Linked DNA regions of Drosophila melanogaster. The protein of the gene in region 3 interacts with the protein of the main gene of each other region in a pairwise test. Each region holds a gene or a part of one and is shown on either strand. Other genes may lie near its edges.

Region 1 (6,781 bases), on a different chromosome or scaffold from region 3:
ATGTAAATATAGTTATATTTAAATCCATATATGTATTTTACGATCTTAGTTTATTTTCTAGTACATTTTTTAATTTGTTTTTATACAGATTTTACGAAGGAAATAATATATCCCATAACTTTAAACAGAAATTATAAAAAAACACTTGTTCCAACTTCGTTCGTTATTATTTAAATAAATAAATCAATGCATTTTTCTCTATTTGCGATGAGAAATAAAAGCCCCCCCCCCCCCCTCAAATACAATAAAAAATATTCATTATTCTTCAGATGCAATTGCTTGCTTTATTTAAACGATTGAGGTATTTGTTGTCAGATTCAATTGTTGTACTCTTCGACTAGCTCTTGTTTGTACTTTGTGGCATCGACGATAAGTGAACTTGGAGTTAGGGACGATCGATCATGGCGCTGAAAATCGGGAGGCAACAAGCAAAGAGAGTGCTCTTTTACGGGCTGGGTGGTAAAAACAAAAGAAATACAAAAATAGGGTTTTTATTTTTTTTGTAAATATAGTTATCGCTTCTATTCTGGTTCTTTTCTTGTGTACAAAGTAGTGTGTGCAAAAGTAGGGTAAGATAAATGATACATATCAAAGTATAAAGGTTAATTTAAACGATATCATAAATGCTACAGAGGATTCCTATATATGATATGATAAAACGAAGTCAACTCCGTGCATCATACCATATTTAGTAAACTAAAGATCGACGGGGAAGTGGATGAGGAGTGGATGCATAAATGCAAGTGTTTTCCCAGTGTGCACTCTTATCCTTGGGATCCACCGTTTCCCAATTTAGGCGGCCTCGTCTGCATTTAGCATTCGTATCCGTCGAAACTCCTTTCGATGGAAGAAATTAAACTTATGCTTCTGCTGAAACATCATCTTATCGGTCATCTTGCGCAGGACAGGTGTTGGTGTTATACTACTATTGTGTTCGCTGCTGCTGTTGCTGGTATTATTGAGTGGTGTTGTTGGCTGCATTATGATGTTGGTTATATGCTTGTTGTTGCTGCTACTACTGCGTGTTGTTGTTGTTGTTGAGTGGAAGCAAACCAGCTACTTCTTGCCCTTGGTGGCCTTCTCGGCGGCCTTGGTGACCTTGCCACCGGAGGCATCCTTGAAGTTGACAGCCTTAATGACACCGACAGCCACGGTCTGCCTCATGTCACGCACAGCGAAGCGACCCAGAGGGGGGAACTCCTGGAAGGCCTCCACGCACAGGGGCTTAGAGGGCACCAGGTTGACGATGGCAGCATCGCCAGACTTGATGAACTTGGGGTTCTCCTCGGTGGTCTTGCCGGAACGACGGTCGACCTTCTCCTTGATCTCAGCGAACTTGCAAGCAATGTGAGCGGTGTGGCAATCCAACACGGGGGTGTAGCCGTTGGCAATCTGACCGGGGTGGTTCAGCACGATGACCTGGGCGGTGAAGTCGGCGGCTCCCTTGGGGGGGTTAGCCTTGGAGTCACCGGCAACGTAGCCACGACGCAGCTCCTTCACGGACACGTTCTTGACGTTGAAGCCAACGTTGTCTCCGGGAACGGCCTCCTGCAGGGCCTCGTGGTGCATCTCCACGGACTTGACCTCAGTGGTGATGTTAGCAGGGGCGAAGACCACAACGGTACCGGGCTTCAGCACACCAGTCTCCACACGACCCACGGGTACTGTTCCAATACCGCCAATTTTGTACACATCCTGCAGGGGCAGACGCAGGGCCTTGTCGGTGGGACGGGCTGGGGGAAGGATGGCATCGAGGGCATCGATCAGGGTCTTGCCGTCAGCGTTACCCTCCTTGCGCTCCACCTTCCATCCCTTGAACCAGGGCATGTTGGTAGAGGGTTCCAACATGTTGTCGCCGTGCCATCCGGAAATGGGCACGAAGGCAACGGCGGCTGGGTTGTAGCCGATCTTCTTGATGTAAGAGGACACTTCCTTCTTGATTTCCTCATAACGGGCCTCGCTGTATGGTGGCTCGGAGGAGTCCATCTTGTTCACACCAACGATCAGCTGCTTCACACCCAGGGTGAAGGCGAGCAGGGCGTGCTCGCGGGTCTGGCCGTTCTTCGAGATACCTGCCTCGAATTCTCCGGTTCCGGCGGCGACAATCAGCACGGCGCAATCGGCCTGCGAGGTACCAGTGATCATGTTCTTGATGAAATCCCTGTGTCCGGGGGCATCAATGATGGTCACGTAGTACTTGGCAGTTTCGAACTTCCACAGGGCGATATCGATGGTGATACCACGCTCGCGCTCAGCCTTCAACTTATCCAAAACCCAGGCGTACTTGAAGGATCCCTTTCCCATCTCCTGGGCCTCCTTCTCGAACTTCTCGATGGTACGCTTGTCGATACCACCGCACTTGTAGATCAAGTGTCCGGTGGTGGTCGACTTACCGGAATCGACGTGTCCGATCACGACAATGTTAATGTGAATCTTTTCCTTGCCCATGTTGGATGATTACACTATGGCTGTTGTGTGTATTCGAGTGTTGGATTGACGGAACGTTGGAACATTGGAAGGTTGCAGGGTTCGGCGGGTTGGCGAGCAAGAGAGGTTGGAATAAACAAAGGGTAAAACAATTCGTTAGCATTCGGTGGGATTACAACTACAATTATTAGTGGGTATAACACTTTCTCATTTCCCTAGCGTACGTTCGACTTTTGTTTGCATGCGCGAGCACAACCTAACCTCAAACTCTTGCAGCCGTACAAAACGTGTTTTTTGAGGTTAGGTCCAGTGCCCGCATGTAAGGGTGTGGGTAAAACGAGTGGGGCGCAACTACAGAAAAGAGCGTGCAAATAAAATTCCATATGGAAACTCGATTTTGTTTCAGTGATTTTGGTATTTTTGCTTTCGTCAACTGTCTTCAGTAGCAGAACTGAAAAATCATCATCATGTTAAATCGAAGAGTCCAAAGGAAAATTCCAGCAAATTTAATTCGCAAATACACATGTGCTTATCTGCCTATGCGTGTGTATATCTATGCCTGTGTATTTGTGTGACGCTGTTGCCGGCCGGAGGAAAAGTAAGAGAGGAATAGAGAGAGAGAGAGACCAAAATGGCGGATGTGCATTAGTGTGCGTGTGTGACTTGTACAAATGCAAGCGATCTCGCCGCGGTGGCACAATTGGTAATTGGAAAGAAATGAAAAAGAGAGGGGCACACAACGAATTATTCAAGAACGTAGTGCAGCGGCAGCCATTTTACCAAAACCAATTATGGAGTCGGTTGGAAATGGCGAAATAGCTGATGCGAGTGCCATTTCACCAGATATGCTAATGGGCTGGAAACCCAAAAAAGCACATTTTTTCGCTTGTTGCCAGGCGAATTTTTTTCGCCCACTTGACTCACGCCACTGGGTCGCCATTTTAGAATTCCATGCCGCAAAAAGAAAGAATAAGGAATATCTATAGGTCATGACAAAGGCAAGAGAGAAAGCACGTTTTTTTTTCTCGGTTAATGAGCACATCTGGTGGATGACCTCTGTGTCCGGCGTGGGCGTGGCAAAGTAATTACACACTAAGTGCACCATATTGCAGGGCGAAAATGCGGCCGGAAAAGCCGGAAAATTATTTTGAGAATGCTGGGAACTTTAACTGGGAACGCCAGTTAAAATTTTTGCCTTTGCAGACTTGCCACGTGTTTGCTTCTATGGCCACCTTTCACTTTGGAAAACCGCAGTTAGAGGTTATCTCCGGGTTTATTACACACACACAGGAAAAACACTGGAAATATGCACAAATTCGGCGTCTCAGCTGCATATTTGTTTATAAATTGTTTTCTGGCTGCAGTCCCGTTGCAGAAATTACTTAATTATAGCCTCGCAGGTAAAACTTACTCTCGAATAAGCTGAATGAGAAATCACGAAGTCTAAGCGGCGACGGATTCGAACAAAGTGAACGAGCGTTCGGCAGAGCTCAGCACAGGAAGCCTCGTTTGACACATGGTGTGACCGAAGCTACGCAACTGTCAAAAGAGCAGAAACCGTGTTCTCACTGCGGTGTTTCCACTACGCGCGAATGAAGCACTTCATTTTATTGAAATTTAAGTGATTGAAAGTGGCAAAATACAATAACCTAACGATTGAGGGATTTAAAAAACCTTGTTTGCTCGACATTGTTTTTATATGAAAAACTAAATAATCAGTGATTCCAAAAATATTTTCTACAAAACGATGTCTATAATTTCTATACGTAATATTGGAACACATATCTCTTAATATTTAAAAACTATAACAATTGCATTAGTAGTCCGCATTTTGAACTTTTAGACTAGAACCTGAACTTTAATTTGTATGTGAACCCTAACGTAATAGAACTTTAAATAACAATAGAAGCTTGAGATCGTTTAAATTTATGTAATACGTTTCATTTATTTATACATTTTTTGGCGTCCGTTGCTACAACTAAAATATGCTACAAATAAAACTATAAGTAATTTGGTATTGTATCAATTTATACAATATTGTAAAAATTTATAACTTAAGATCTCACGTTTTAATACTTTTTCTTCTGGAATTCATCAGAATGCTAATATTTATTTGAATTTGTAACTTACTGCTTAATATTTTTTGTTAGACTATTTTTTCACTCAGTTTTCACTTGTACTCAATAAATTTATTCATTGTGCATAGAACAAAAGTTGTTAGCCTGCCCCTTATATAGGACGCAATTAAAAGTTCCTAAGTGTTTTCCTAATTTTGTGAAATTAATTAATTAGTTATTAATAATATGATTATTGTTATGCTTGCGAAATCAGTTAACAATAAATGCAATTACCATCTTTTATGAAATGATAATTTGACAAAATTTTATTATAAATCGGTATCAATTAAATTAATTTAAATCTAGATCTCAACTTTTCTGTGTGACTGGAAAGAATTATAGCTAAAGCATTTAAAACCCACACATATAGACATTAGTCATTAATAAATGATGAGCCATCTTTATTTATTGTTTACATATGCAGGAAAGCTCACAACTGAGAGCTTTTTCCAACTTTAGACATTTTCGGCCTAGCCCCACCTGGCCACACTACGACGAAACAGAATAAGAAGCGACGTGGCGAAAGAGGCAAAAAGCGAATTCAATCGTTGAAAAATACCGAACCGGTCCGGTACTCAGTTTTTGTTGTAGAAGTAGGCGTTCGACGGCCTAGTTGAACTTGAATTATTCACCGATATCGCTTCAAGTGAACCCAAATAATGATGTGGCGCCTTGCTGGAGTGCTCCTACTAGGCTTCATCGCCATCTCGTCCGGAGCGGAGCAGGATGTCCTGGAACTGGGGGACGACGACTTTGCCACCACCCTAAAACAACACGAGACGACGCTGGTCATGTTCTACGCCCCCTGGTGAGTTAGTGAGTGGGCGTGGCCGGGCGCCATCCTACAACAAATGCATTGCGTGTGCGATTCGCGTATAATCCGCTTGTTGCGTCCGCAACTTAATTCGATTCCCAATGCCCAGTGCCGACCGATGCCCGATTTTCCGGCCATCGCAAGCGCAAAGTACACGTCAGCGTTTGCCTTGCTTTTGCCGGCAAATAAAGAAGGAACGAGTGACGGAACGAAACGAGACGCAAAGAGAGGGGCAATGATGATATGCCAGTATTGGTGCCGTCGGCCATTTTAGAGCGCGGGGTGCCAAAGTGCCTAGTTGGTACAATTTCCGTGCAATTCCTGCTCCACTTGTCCACTGGCTAATGATAGTGAGCAGGCATAGGGGCCCCAGTGTACATAGCGCATCTTTTATTATAGTTTCTTATGCCTATGCATTATACCCATAATCCCAGGAATGTGTAATTCTAAGGGTTAACTTAGATTTAGCTTGAAACTGGTTATCATAGTCTGAAACACTCACAGTTCTCATACAAATGTAATTTCCCAACAGTTTACACCAACCATATTAAAACTTCAATTTTAATTGCCTGCCTACTCACAAAAGTTATGCTGATTGTGCTATAAATTTCTCATGTCAGTAGACACATTTTTAACTTCCATCGTAATCCACACTGAACACAATAACCTTTTAATACATTTTTGTTTAGTACATAACACATATTTACTGTGCCTATTTACTCTCTTTTGAGCCATTTGTTTGCCCATTATCAGGGGTAAACTATAAGCTCACACTTGGACAATGAACTAGGTAAATTATTAGCGTTTTTTTTGCCGGCCGGCTTTCGAAATCCCCAAAGAGCTGTTGAACTACTTGGCATGGAGACTTGATTCCCTCATGACGAACCTTATCAGTATTCAAGCATAAATACACAGGGATGAAGTTGAAAAAGTTGTACACTGCAATAAAACTGCTCTTTTCATTATAACATAGTTAACTTAAGGCATCACTTATCTTTATCAAAAATGAATTATTATCTGCACTGCTAAGAGTGCAGACTATACTCTGCTGTTTCAAATAAGTACCAAGTCGTTTTTCTCTCTGTATGCCTAATGGGCACTTGTACTTGTGTGATAAGACAGTTGATAATTCCAGCACCCTTACTTTAATTACAAGCTAGTTTTTTGGGAACTTGTCTTCCCGTTGCCTTGATAACAAATGATGAATTAGATAGTATTGTTACCAACATAATGTTTAAGTGACGTGTCCTAACAGAGTGTTTTTTCCTGTTTAAGGTGCGGCCACTGCAAGCGATTGAAGCCCGAGTACGCCAAGGCGGCGGAGATCGTGAAAGACGATGATCCGCCAATCAAACTGGCCAAGGTTGACTGTACGGAAGCTGGAAAGGAAACGTGTAGCAAGTACTCCGTCAGCGGCTACCCA
Region 2 (4,934 bases), on a different chromosome or scaffold from region 3:
GAGCGAGAACATTACAACGTCAGCGTCGACGATTTTTGCACGTCTCTGTTTATATTACATTCTGCGGCCCTTTTTTCGTGTGCTTTTTGCGCTTTTTTTTCTCGCCGTTTTTTGTTATTGCCATTGCGACTGTTACGTACGTGCATGTAAACGAACACGTAGTTGTGTGCGCGTGTGTGTCTGCGCGGTACATGCACATGTATATTCCCTATATGTATATTGGCATGTGCGCATGCCTTTTAATGGCAAGGGTTAGCAGCCCCTTTTTTCCACAGAGGGTTGCAAAATGCGTTTATACGCTTCTTTTTCTGTTTGAATGTACATGCATGCATGTGCACGTATGCGTGTATGTGTGAGTTATACATACGCATTGGGTGGCGATAAGGACGCGCTGATAAGCAAATGAGTTATCTAATCTCCAACACAACGCTCCTTATCATCCATGCAAACGTAAATGTGTACGTGCATATACATGAGAAGCGCAGTCTTCTTCTAGCTCGCCTTCCAGTAAGGAGAGATAAGGAGCAGGCAATCACGCCGTTTCACTCTGCCCTGAATAAGCGGTATGTGTGCCACTATATCGCCGCCTCTCTTCCTCCCACTCCCCCACCACGACCTTCCACCCACATCCAGGCTAGAGCGAGGCAGAAACAGTGCTCTGTATCCCGCGATCACGGCTCATATTAAAAAAAAAAAGGCGGGGGATTGGTAAGAAACGGTAAACAAATACAGTGGCCGCCAACTTTTTCAAACTTAGGATTTAAGCAAATTTCCTATGTTTCCGGAGGATAAAATAGTGTTTAATTTTATCCAGCAAATCTTAGATTGAAATTAGCAAAAAAAAATTTCCTCTAACTCACTTGTTTGTTTAAACAAGTTTTTATTTTTGTTTGACATTGGCTATCAAAGCAAACTGAAATATCACCCCTCGAAGAGTTTTGTATTTGAAATATTTTGATAAAATATACTTTAGAAGATATCAAGTGTTCACTGTGGCTGGGAAACAACATCCCCCTGGTCACTCCATTTTTTAATCCATATCGCGTATTTCCCACTGGCGATTCGATCCGATCGCTATAAGTGATAAGAAATCCATCACTGATAGGGGATTATCCCAAATCTGTTTTCCACCACGATAGATAGTGTTTTGTACTATCATTTATAAAGCCAAATATTTATCAACGCGGCACTTTTGAGACTCTGATCACTTTACTCTAATTATTATGAAAGGTAGTTTTCAAGGTAGTTGAAACTACTCCTGCTTTTCCCGAATCCCTACTGCAAATGAAAAATTTTCCCATTACTTGCTGCAGCAAAGTTCTTTCTATTGGGTAACCACTGTGCCAAGTATTTTGAATGATCTATGTCATGTTTGCTCACCTGCTTTGAAGGTCGATGCATCGAAACTGGGCGCTCTGACCGGCTGCTGCTTATCACGGAGTCCGCTAAGCTGACGCTCGGGCACATAGCTGACCGCCGCTGGCAGGGATTCGCCACGCGTCAATGGCGGTCTGCCGCCCACGCCACTTGGATCGTCCATGGCGCTGCGCTTGATGCCGGGCGGACAACCGCCGGATACGCCTCCGCCGGCGGATAGGGAGTTGCCAGCACTGCCATCTGGCGCCAGGCCGTGTCCCGACTGCTGTTGCTGCTGGCTTACATCCACATCGACATCCTCGCTGGGCGGACGCTTTAAATTCACGGATAGGGCGGGCGGTAGGCTGCCACCGCCACTGCCGGCGGTGGGTACGCCGCCGCCGGGTGCACCGCCACCGCCGCGGGTCGCATTTGGCGGCAGGTGGTGGGGCGTCATGTGTGAAATGCGTACGGGTCGTACGCCGCCACCGGGGGCATCCTCCAGCTTAACGGGATAGTCCAGTGGCGGACCGATGCGTGGCACTGGCATTTGATAGGGCATCTGATGGTGATGATGCACTGCAGCAGCGGCGGCGGCAGCAGCAACGGCATTGCCCAGCGAACTGAGCGAACCGGCGCCCGACGGACCTGGACCACCACTTCCGGGCGGAGCACCCGGTGGACCGCCGCCACCTCCGCCGCGATGGGAACCCGGTCCTTGTCCCGGAACTGGACCGACTTGTAACTGTTGTTGCTGCTGTAGGACGACGGCGGCCGCTGCAGCGGCGGACACTTCGCCGTTCTCATGGGAACGCTGCTGTTTGCTGGCGGGATGGAGACGCTTCATTTGGCGGGCGGCGTCCAGCACCGCCTCGATGCGATCGGCGCCCTCATAGTTGACGCAACCGCGGCACACCGCCTCCGAGAAGTCATTGATCATCGCCCAGGGCATGCGGGGTAAATCGCACAGATAGCAGTGCTGCCTTTTCGTTTGCAGCGACATCCTGCTGCGTTTCTGGAAACTGTCAACTGGCAACTAGCAACTGTCAACTGTCAATTGGCAACTGTCAATTGGAAGCCCTGGATGGGCTGGATCTGGAAATGGGTTTGTGCTGTTTTAGCTCACTGGAATGGCTAACTGTTCCTTCCTGCTGGATTCCCAATTCCTATTATTTATTATTTTCTCCTTTTTTTTCGCTTTCTTTTTTCTTGTTTCAGCTTCTTTTCGGTTGTGCGTTGTAGCTATTTTTCTTATTTAGCATTTGTTATTCATGTTTTCGTATTGATTTTCGCACACACGCACATATACACGCGCGCACGCACGCATATTTCACCGCGCTTCCACCCGAAAAAAATTCACTTATGTTTTTTCCTTCAGCTTCAGCTTCTTCTTCTTCTTCTTTTCTATTGTGCTGCGCCGCGCTGCTCGCCAACACGCACGCACACAGGCACACACACCACACACCACACTTAGGCACGCGCGCCGCAGAGTGAAAGAGAGAGGGTGCGCGCGAGTAAGCGGGACACGTAAATGTACGACGACGCCAAAAACGTGTAGGAACAAAACGAACGATGAGATCGCAGCGACGCAACGAATGACTGAAAAAGCGACCGGACGCCACACAGCTTGCTGATAGAGTGTGGCCTTGGCTGGTATGTGAGAATATACCCCAGGGGCCAAGCGAAATGTACTAAAAAATCTTCGCTGCCGCAATGGGAAATACCAAGAAAATACCTGAAATACTGGCTTATATCAGAGACACGAACCTTTCAGTGGACTTCAACCAGGGTTGCCAAAGTGGCTGAGACTGTAGCGAAGACTTCAACCATGATAAAGCTAAGGAAATTTTAAATTTTCTTTAAAATTTAGCATCATTTTGAGCATAGTAATTCTACTATTTCGTATTAATATATATAGCTTTTAATATATTGCTCCTAATATTACGCCCAAATATTAAAAATAAACCCTTTTGGCTGTTTAAGTAATTAAAAATAATATTTATTTTTATTTTTAACCCCCTTTGGGGCTACGACCCTGCCAGCGTACGTGCCTGCACGTCATATTCACGAAACGGAATCTAGTGACGAAGTCCTTCCCCCAAAGTCCGCCTGTAAGTATACCATGTAAAGTTCGTGGATACACATCCGTTTTTCGTATAGATACCGAACGTATGTACATAGGATACAGTTATGTAGACCTTGAATCTGGTATGCTCCGTCTCTTTCGCTCGGCGAACAGCTGACTTAACAGAGCTCTGTAACTGTTAATGAAATTAAAAGCCCTCATTCCTAGCAAAAAAAAAAAAAAAAACAAGGACATCCGTAAAGCACTGCGCAGGACCACAAACTGCAAGCATGTATGTGTATGCATATCGTTGCATATATGTACATATGTATAGGCGAAAATGCTTGGGTGTTCGTATTCCTGGCGTTTGGCCTGAATCGATTTCCCGACCATGGTCTGGGACAAATTCCGTATCTGTGCGTACATCCTGTTAAAAGGAAATGCGGAAAAAGGAGCCACCAGATACAGAAACACACGAACAAGCAACGACCTCGTAAACGGGGTCCTTTCCTTACACCCCCACCTTTCCATACAGTCCCGGCCATAAGTTTATGTCCGTGCACGCGCAACTGTACTCGCTTCTTAACATTTCATTTGAGATTTTATTTATGAAATGTTTGGCTCAATTAAAGATATAAAAATATTCTTTAAATTGCCACAAAATTAAAATTCCACAATAAAGACACTAGAAAGTTTAAAAGTTTTTTTTTAATTTCCTCTTTTATTAACAAAAAATGTTTTAAGATTAAAATCAAAAGAGAATCTACGAACTACGTTTATACACAAGCTTTATTTGTAATTACAGACCTTTCGACTCCCGAATAAGTAGGCAACAAAAACTGCATTAGTTATAAACTTATTTACAAGTGGGTAGAAAATGTTGCTATACTGATTATATATGTTCAACTGTTAAAAGGCATAAAGAATTGAATCGAAAATTCTATAAGCGTTACTCAATTTTCGAAAAGCAGGCGTATAAACGTAGTTACAAGGTGGTGTGGGGTCAAAATACAACACATTAAATTAGCTGCATATAAAAAATATCGCACATATTTGTTGTATATAGATAGTTAAATGCTAGATCGGTTCGGCGCGGCCACTGTTCTACTGGCATACGTCCGTATAACAAGGGCCCGACTCAAATGTCTTATGTAAGCAGTTAATTGCAAGCGTTTCGATCCTATATGTATATAGGTTTAGGTATATAATGGCTATATAAAGTACACAGTATAACAGTATTAGGCTTGAGCGTGTGCGTTTCATTTGTATAACAGTTAGCGTGTGTGTGTGTTTGTATGTCTGTTCGTATCAATTACAACTAAAATTGCCTTTGAGCAAAAACATTCTTATATATTTAGTTATAGGAGTTAGACTTATTCTCGTCAATACAAAAAAGTTTGTTTCTTAGCATTGTTAATTATTGTTCTTGGAATGAGGGGACGGGGTGAATGGGTCGAGAATCGATAAATAATAAATTAGATTTAAGCACTAACATGGAATACGTTTATCTATA
Region 3 (5,036 bases):
CACACGCGACTTTAAACAACAAATTTGTCGAACGCCGCAAGAAAATTTCAATGAACGAAGGAAAGGGGGGCAGAGATGGAGGAAGTACGGAGGCAGCAACAAACAGAAAAGGCAACAAAAACCGAAACAGCAGCAATGGCAAAACCAACAACAATCAGCTCTTTTGACCAGCAGCTGTCGCACAGTGGGATGCACAGTGGGCAATTAGGGGTGGATTAGCTATCAGGTGCAGAAATGGTTTGTTTAAGCTACAGAAAAATTCCTTTTTAAATGCCAATCTGCTAATATTAAATTGGGAAAATATTGCGATTGTGCACAGTAATACCTCCAATTGTCATACAACCCATTCCACTGTGCCCATGCAGCACAGTCCACAAGCACAAGTGTTCGGGGTTGCTGCTAATGGAACGCAATTCACAATTCACTGGGAATTCGCTATCTCTGTCTGCAGCACCCCTCTTTGTCGCTCCCCAGTAGCTCCGTCTCTTTCCGACGTTGCAACGACAATGGCAGCAACAAAAGCAAAACAGCGGCAGACAGCAAAAACCAATGGACAAAAACACAAACAAAACGGTGGACAAGAGTCGTCATCCTCCGCTGTTTTTGTTGTTTCGGCAAAACTTCTTTATCCCGGAGAAGGGAAAGAGATGGGCATATGAAGGGAGAAAGAGAGGGTGACAGAACGTTCGCATAAATTTAAAATTGCGCGCAAACGGCGCCCACAAAGCCAAACACCACAGTATGCAATTATCTAAGGAATTTTTAGTAAACTACATGGTAAACTGACGGGGATTCCAAAAATTTTTTATTTTAGTTGCTCAGCATGGTCACACTGTGCATTTCGGTTGAGTCAGCTGACTATAACAGCTGATGCTCTACAGTAAACAAAGAATTTGGAATCTCGAAAAATGTCCTGTTGTTTATAATTACACAATATTTCAATTTGTGTTTAATAGCTGGGTAATCCCAGAATAAACTAAGTGTAGTTTTTGTCTTGACTTCTTTTCTTATGACAGCCTTAGTTTCAATTAGGCAAGCACCACTGTCCGAAAACAACAAGGAAAGGCAATAAAAGGGAGCAGAGAATGCGTTTTGGGGGTTGCTGGATGCTGCAAAGGGGGGTGCTTCACAAAAGGGCCTGCCACTGCTGTGGGTGTGGGGGGGGGTCGAAAGTCGTCGCAAAGTGGAGTAAACTGAAGTCTGGAGCACAACAAAAAGCAGTAAAGGCGGCGGCAGAGGAAAATCCTAGGAGAGGGTGCGAAATCTCGCAGTATACACACCACTACCAGACTTTTCCTATACACATCTATGTACATACATATACAAATGGGTGGCACAACAAAAAAACGGAAGAAAAGCGAAGGAATCTGTCTAGACAACATTGTAAGTAGATAAAAATATTTGGTCGGAAAAATCGGGCGAGGAAATAATGAAATATGTAATTTCCTACACCGTACACCCATCTCTTTCTTTCCCCGCCTATCACTACTACCACTATCTCTTTCCGGCAGGTAATACCTTTTTTGATAAGGAAGCAATTGTAGCACATTTCTCTGCTATTTTTTTCAATTGCACCATCATTAAAATTGTGTTACGGATAAGATAACACAAGTTGGCGCTATATTTTCTTCACATATTTCCCACTTTTCGTGTGAAAATTCCATTTAGCGAGGCAGCGTGCCCCGTACACGCTGAATGAATTAATTTATTCATATTCAACATATTTATGCATTTGTGTAAACAAAAAGCAGGTGCCCGAAATTACTGTAAAGCGGTTATTGTTTACGCAAATGTTTGAATTAAGGAAAGAGAGAGTGAGACAGGTAACTGCTTATTTTTTTGACTGGTTTATTGTTATTTTCTGTTTATACTATTTTTATGACCGCTCTTTCCGCTTTTTTCAAATTCTTTTGTTATTGATTTCACTTTTCTGGATGGTTTTTTAAATACTTGAGATACAGTGGAGCTTTAAAATGGATAACTATTTATTTAAACTTTCTAGCACTTCAAATGATATGAGCATATGAGTTAATTATCTAAAGTAATTTTTAAAAGTTGTTTTCTAAATTAAATAATATAATGATATGATCAGATAATAGCTTCCTTCTTTACTGAGCGTTCACTGTGATCGAATTCACATGAAAGTATTTTTTTTCTTTGCACCTTGCGTATTTTGTTTTGCATCACCTGTCGCAGCTGATTTTTCATTCACACTATTTGTTTATCTACGATTATTATTTTTTTAGCTGCTCGTTAGCTGGTGAAATTCCCATAGAAAATTCATTAAAACCCAGCAAAGGAATTTTAGTTTTAGTTTCTCAGAGAGAATTCGATTGTTCGCTGGTGTGAGTGTGAGTGTTTTGTATGTGTGTGTTTAGTGTGTGAAGAGAGAAGTTGTAAAACCGGATTTTCCTTTTGGGCGCTTTCGTAGTTTTGTTGCCTTTTGCACTTTGCCTCGATCTTCGATTTTTAATAGCCACTTAAATTCGATATTGGGCTGTTAAAAAGTTACAACAATTTTCCTTTCTGCATTTTCTCTGCTTTTATTTTCTTTTCTCTGCTCTTGCATTTTGCACATCACTTGCTTTGCACTTACACTTGTTGATTATTTAATGTGCAATATTTTTATTGCGTTTACTTGCACTTTTTCGTATTCTTTACTCTTCTCAGCTGCTTTTCACTAATAATTTATTTAAATCAAACTGAAGCACGCACACAGCTGCACGTAGTTACGCACACACACGCACGCATACACTAAAAACGCCAAACGACGCGCCGGAAAAAACAACAAAAAGAACAACAACGAAGAGAGCGGCGAAACAACAAAAATCAAACGTTTCAAAATTCTCTTTCGCTTTGCACCGCGAAATTAAATCAAATCGAAACTTAAAAGATTGCCAATGCGATTTTGACCTAATGTTTATTGTGTTTTTTTTCTATTTCGAAGCGAGCGCGACGCTGTTTTTCCGACTTTACGATCCCCAATTGGCGTTCGATGTGCGTTCGTCTGCTCTCAAAAAAATTGTGACAAAAAATTGTTTATATGCCGCAGTGTGGCCAGCTGCTTAGCGGCCGATAAGGCCGAATTTGCACCGTTTCGCGGCATTTGTCGGCAGCGCGGTCACACTCGAGAAGAGAGCGGCTGGAAATTCAAAATTTAATTTGGCGCCAAACTCGATTTTATATCTATTAATAAATTTCTTGATAACATATCGTATTTACACGTGGCTATATAAACAGCATCGAAATATTATTACAAAGATAATATAGTTGTATCTTTGTTTTTAATCGAAATGGTCAATCTTTTTCAATATGATAAATATTTGGTTAATCATTAAGTCATATAAATCAAATTAATAAACGACGTTGAATCAAGTGACGAGTGAACTTCGTCTGCCTTTCATTTCACATTCACAGCAGTTGATTATAGGAACTCAAATTGAATTAGATTTGCCCATTGATTTGCATTTCGCACCCACAAATTCCGCCACCCGATGATAATTGCCAATTTGGGTGGAAAGCCGCCTCCTCTGGCGAGCTGGAAAATGTCGAAAAACTATTGAAAATCAATTTGCATTCCGCACCAGAAACATCCAAATAATGCGATACTAATTCCCCTCTCGAAAACTTTAATACCTCAAAATCCAATGAGGCAATCGGCAAATGAAAATCTTTTCGAGGGAAGCGAAAGAAAAACAAGAAGCAACCGCACTTCAAAAGCAATTTCACCTTGTTTTTCCAAAAACAAATACACACTGAACCAAAATTCAATTCACTAAACAATGGCGCAAGGCAAATCTCTTTTCGGCCATATATAACTTTTCGGTAAGGAATTTCCCAAACTGCTCTTCAAGAATTTTCACGAGTGGTGGCGTCTCCTATTTTTAGGCCCACTACAAAAACACCCTACAGTGAGCGCTCGGAAAAGTGAACTTTTAGTATAATCTTATATATAATAATATATAGAAGAACTAAATGGTAGATTTTCCCAAATTTTACTTTGAATTTGATAAGGAGTTTGAATTATTTTCTAGTTAGTTATATTAAGTCAAGTAAGTATTTACCTCATATATAGTTACAAATATTTATATACATAGTAAATATGTATATTTATATATGGCAAGTACTATTTTTATAAAACAGGAAACGGAAGTATCTTTCGCTCTAGTTGAAAATATTTAATGAGAGCTAAATATATAAATACGAAAAGGGGGGCATGGCAGGGGGAAAACTCAGCGCTGGAATTTTGTTGTTGCTCCAGAAATGCCGGCAAATGAAAAGCGCAGGTCCGCAAATGAAAAACAGAATGGAAAATTCAAAGAGAGAAAATTTTCAGGGAGAGAGCACAACAATAGCAGTTTGAGAGGCGCCGCAAGTTTGCGAAGCACTGCTTCAAGCAGTGCAATATTTACTGTTTATCGCATGCGAGAAATTTCTCGCCGATGTTTTGTGTGACTCCAAAACTATACGAAGAAAATTAATTTTGTAAATGATCGTTCAAATATATTTACGAACTTAATATTTAAAGAGACAATTTATAAGATTCAAATATTATGTTTAAATGTTTTCATTATTTATGGATAAATAAATTGGAAATCATATTTGCACATTATATTTTTATAAACAAATGGAGTTTGTGCTTAACTCATTTATGGTATCCAACATCTTTGGTAATACTATTTTAAAATAGTATTGTGCTTTTGAGTTCTCCCAACAGTTCAGCGTTTTATTCAATCGTCAAGGAAAGTTTTCCACCCACCGGAATAAAATTCCACTTCATTCCGAGCGAACAATTCGTCTTCAATGTCAGTTTTTCCTCGATTTCCCCGCCCATTTTCCCCGAACTTCTTATCCTTCAGCAAAATTAACTTGAGAATCTTGATAAAAGGGCTGCCATTCATTCATTCAGCAGCTTTGCCGAAAACTGTTCTCAATGCCAGAAGCTGCCAACTTAATTTATATTGTATTTAAAATGCAAAATGCACAGCATTCAACAATGGGCGAGAGCAAAGAAAGTGGGCGCTCTTGGGAAAGTG

Evidence for each region. Proteins that work in one complex are often made in the same cells at the same time.
Region 1: the proteins of CG32264 (region 3) and eEF1alpha1 interact in a two-hybrid assay, tested with the Drosophila melanogaster proteins (one large-scale study listed by BioGRID).
Region 2: the proteins of CG32264 (region 3) and Pits interact in a two-hybrid assay, tested with the Drosophila melanogaster proteins (one large-scale study listed by BioGRID).

What each region holds. Positions count from the first base shown.
Region 1 is NT_033778.4:11,889,242-11,896,022, reverse strand, and holds eEF1alpha1 (eukaryotic translation elongation factor 1 alpha 1), read right to left. Parts: upstream 4,889-6,781; 5' UTR 4,779-4,888; intron 4,628-4,778; exon of another isoform or gene 4,558-4,627; intron 3,902-4,557; exon of another isoform or gene 3,839-3,901; intron 2,901-3,838; exon of another isoform or gene 2,828-2,900; intron 2,482-2,827; exon of another isoform or gene 2,469-2,481; 5' UTR 2,449-2,468; coding exon 1,057-2,448; 3' UTR 503-1,056; downstream 1-502. Other genes in the region: ERp60 (endoplasmic reticulum p60), read left to right, coding at 5,204-5,352, 6,634-6,781. UniProt on the Drosophila melanogaster protein: This protein promotes the GTP-dependent binding of aminoacyl-tRNA to the A-site of ribosomes during protein biosynthesis.
Region 2 is NC_004354.4:12,580,192-12,585,125, forward strand, and holds the start of Pits (protein interacting with Ttk69 and Sin3A), read right to left. Parts: upstream 3,003-4,934; 5' UTR 2,360-3,002; coding exon 1,381-2,359; intron 1-1,380.
Region 3 is NT_037436.4:3,784,961-3,789,996, forward strand, and holds the start of CG32264 (uncharacterized protein), read right to left. Parts: upstream 3,001-5,036; 5' UTR 2,597-3,000; intron 1-2,596.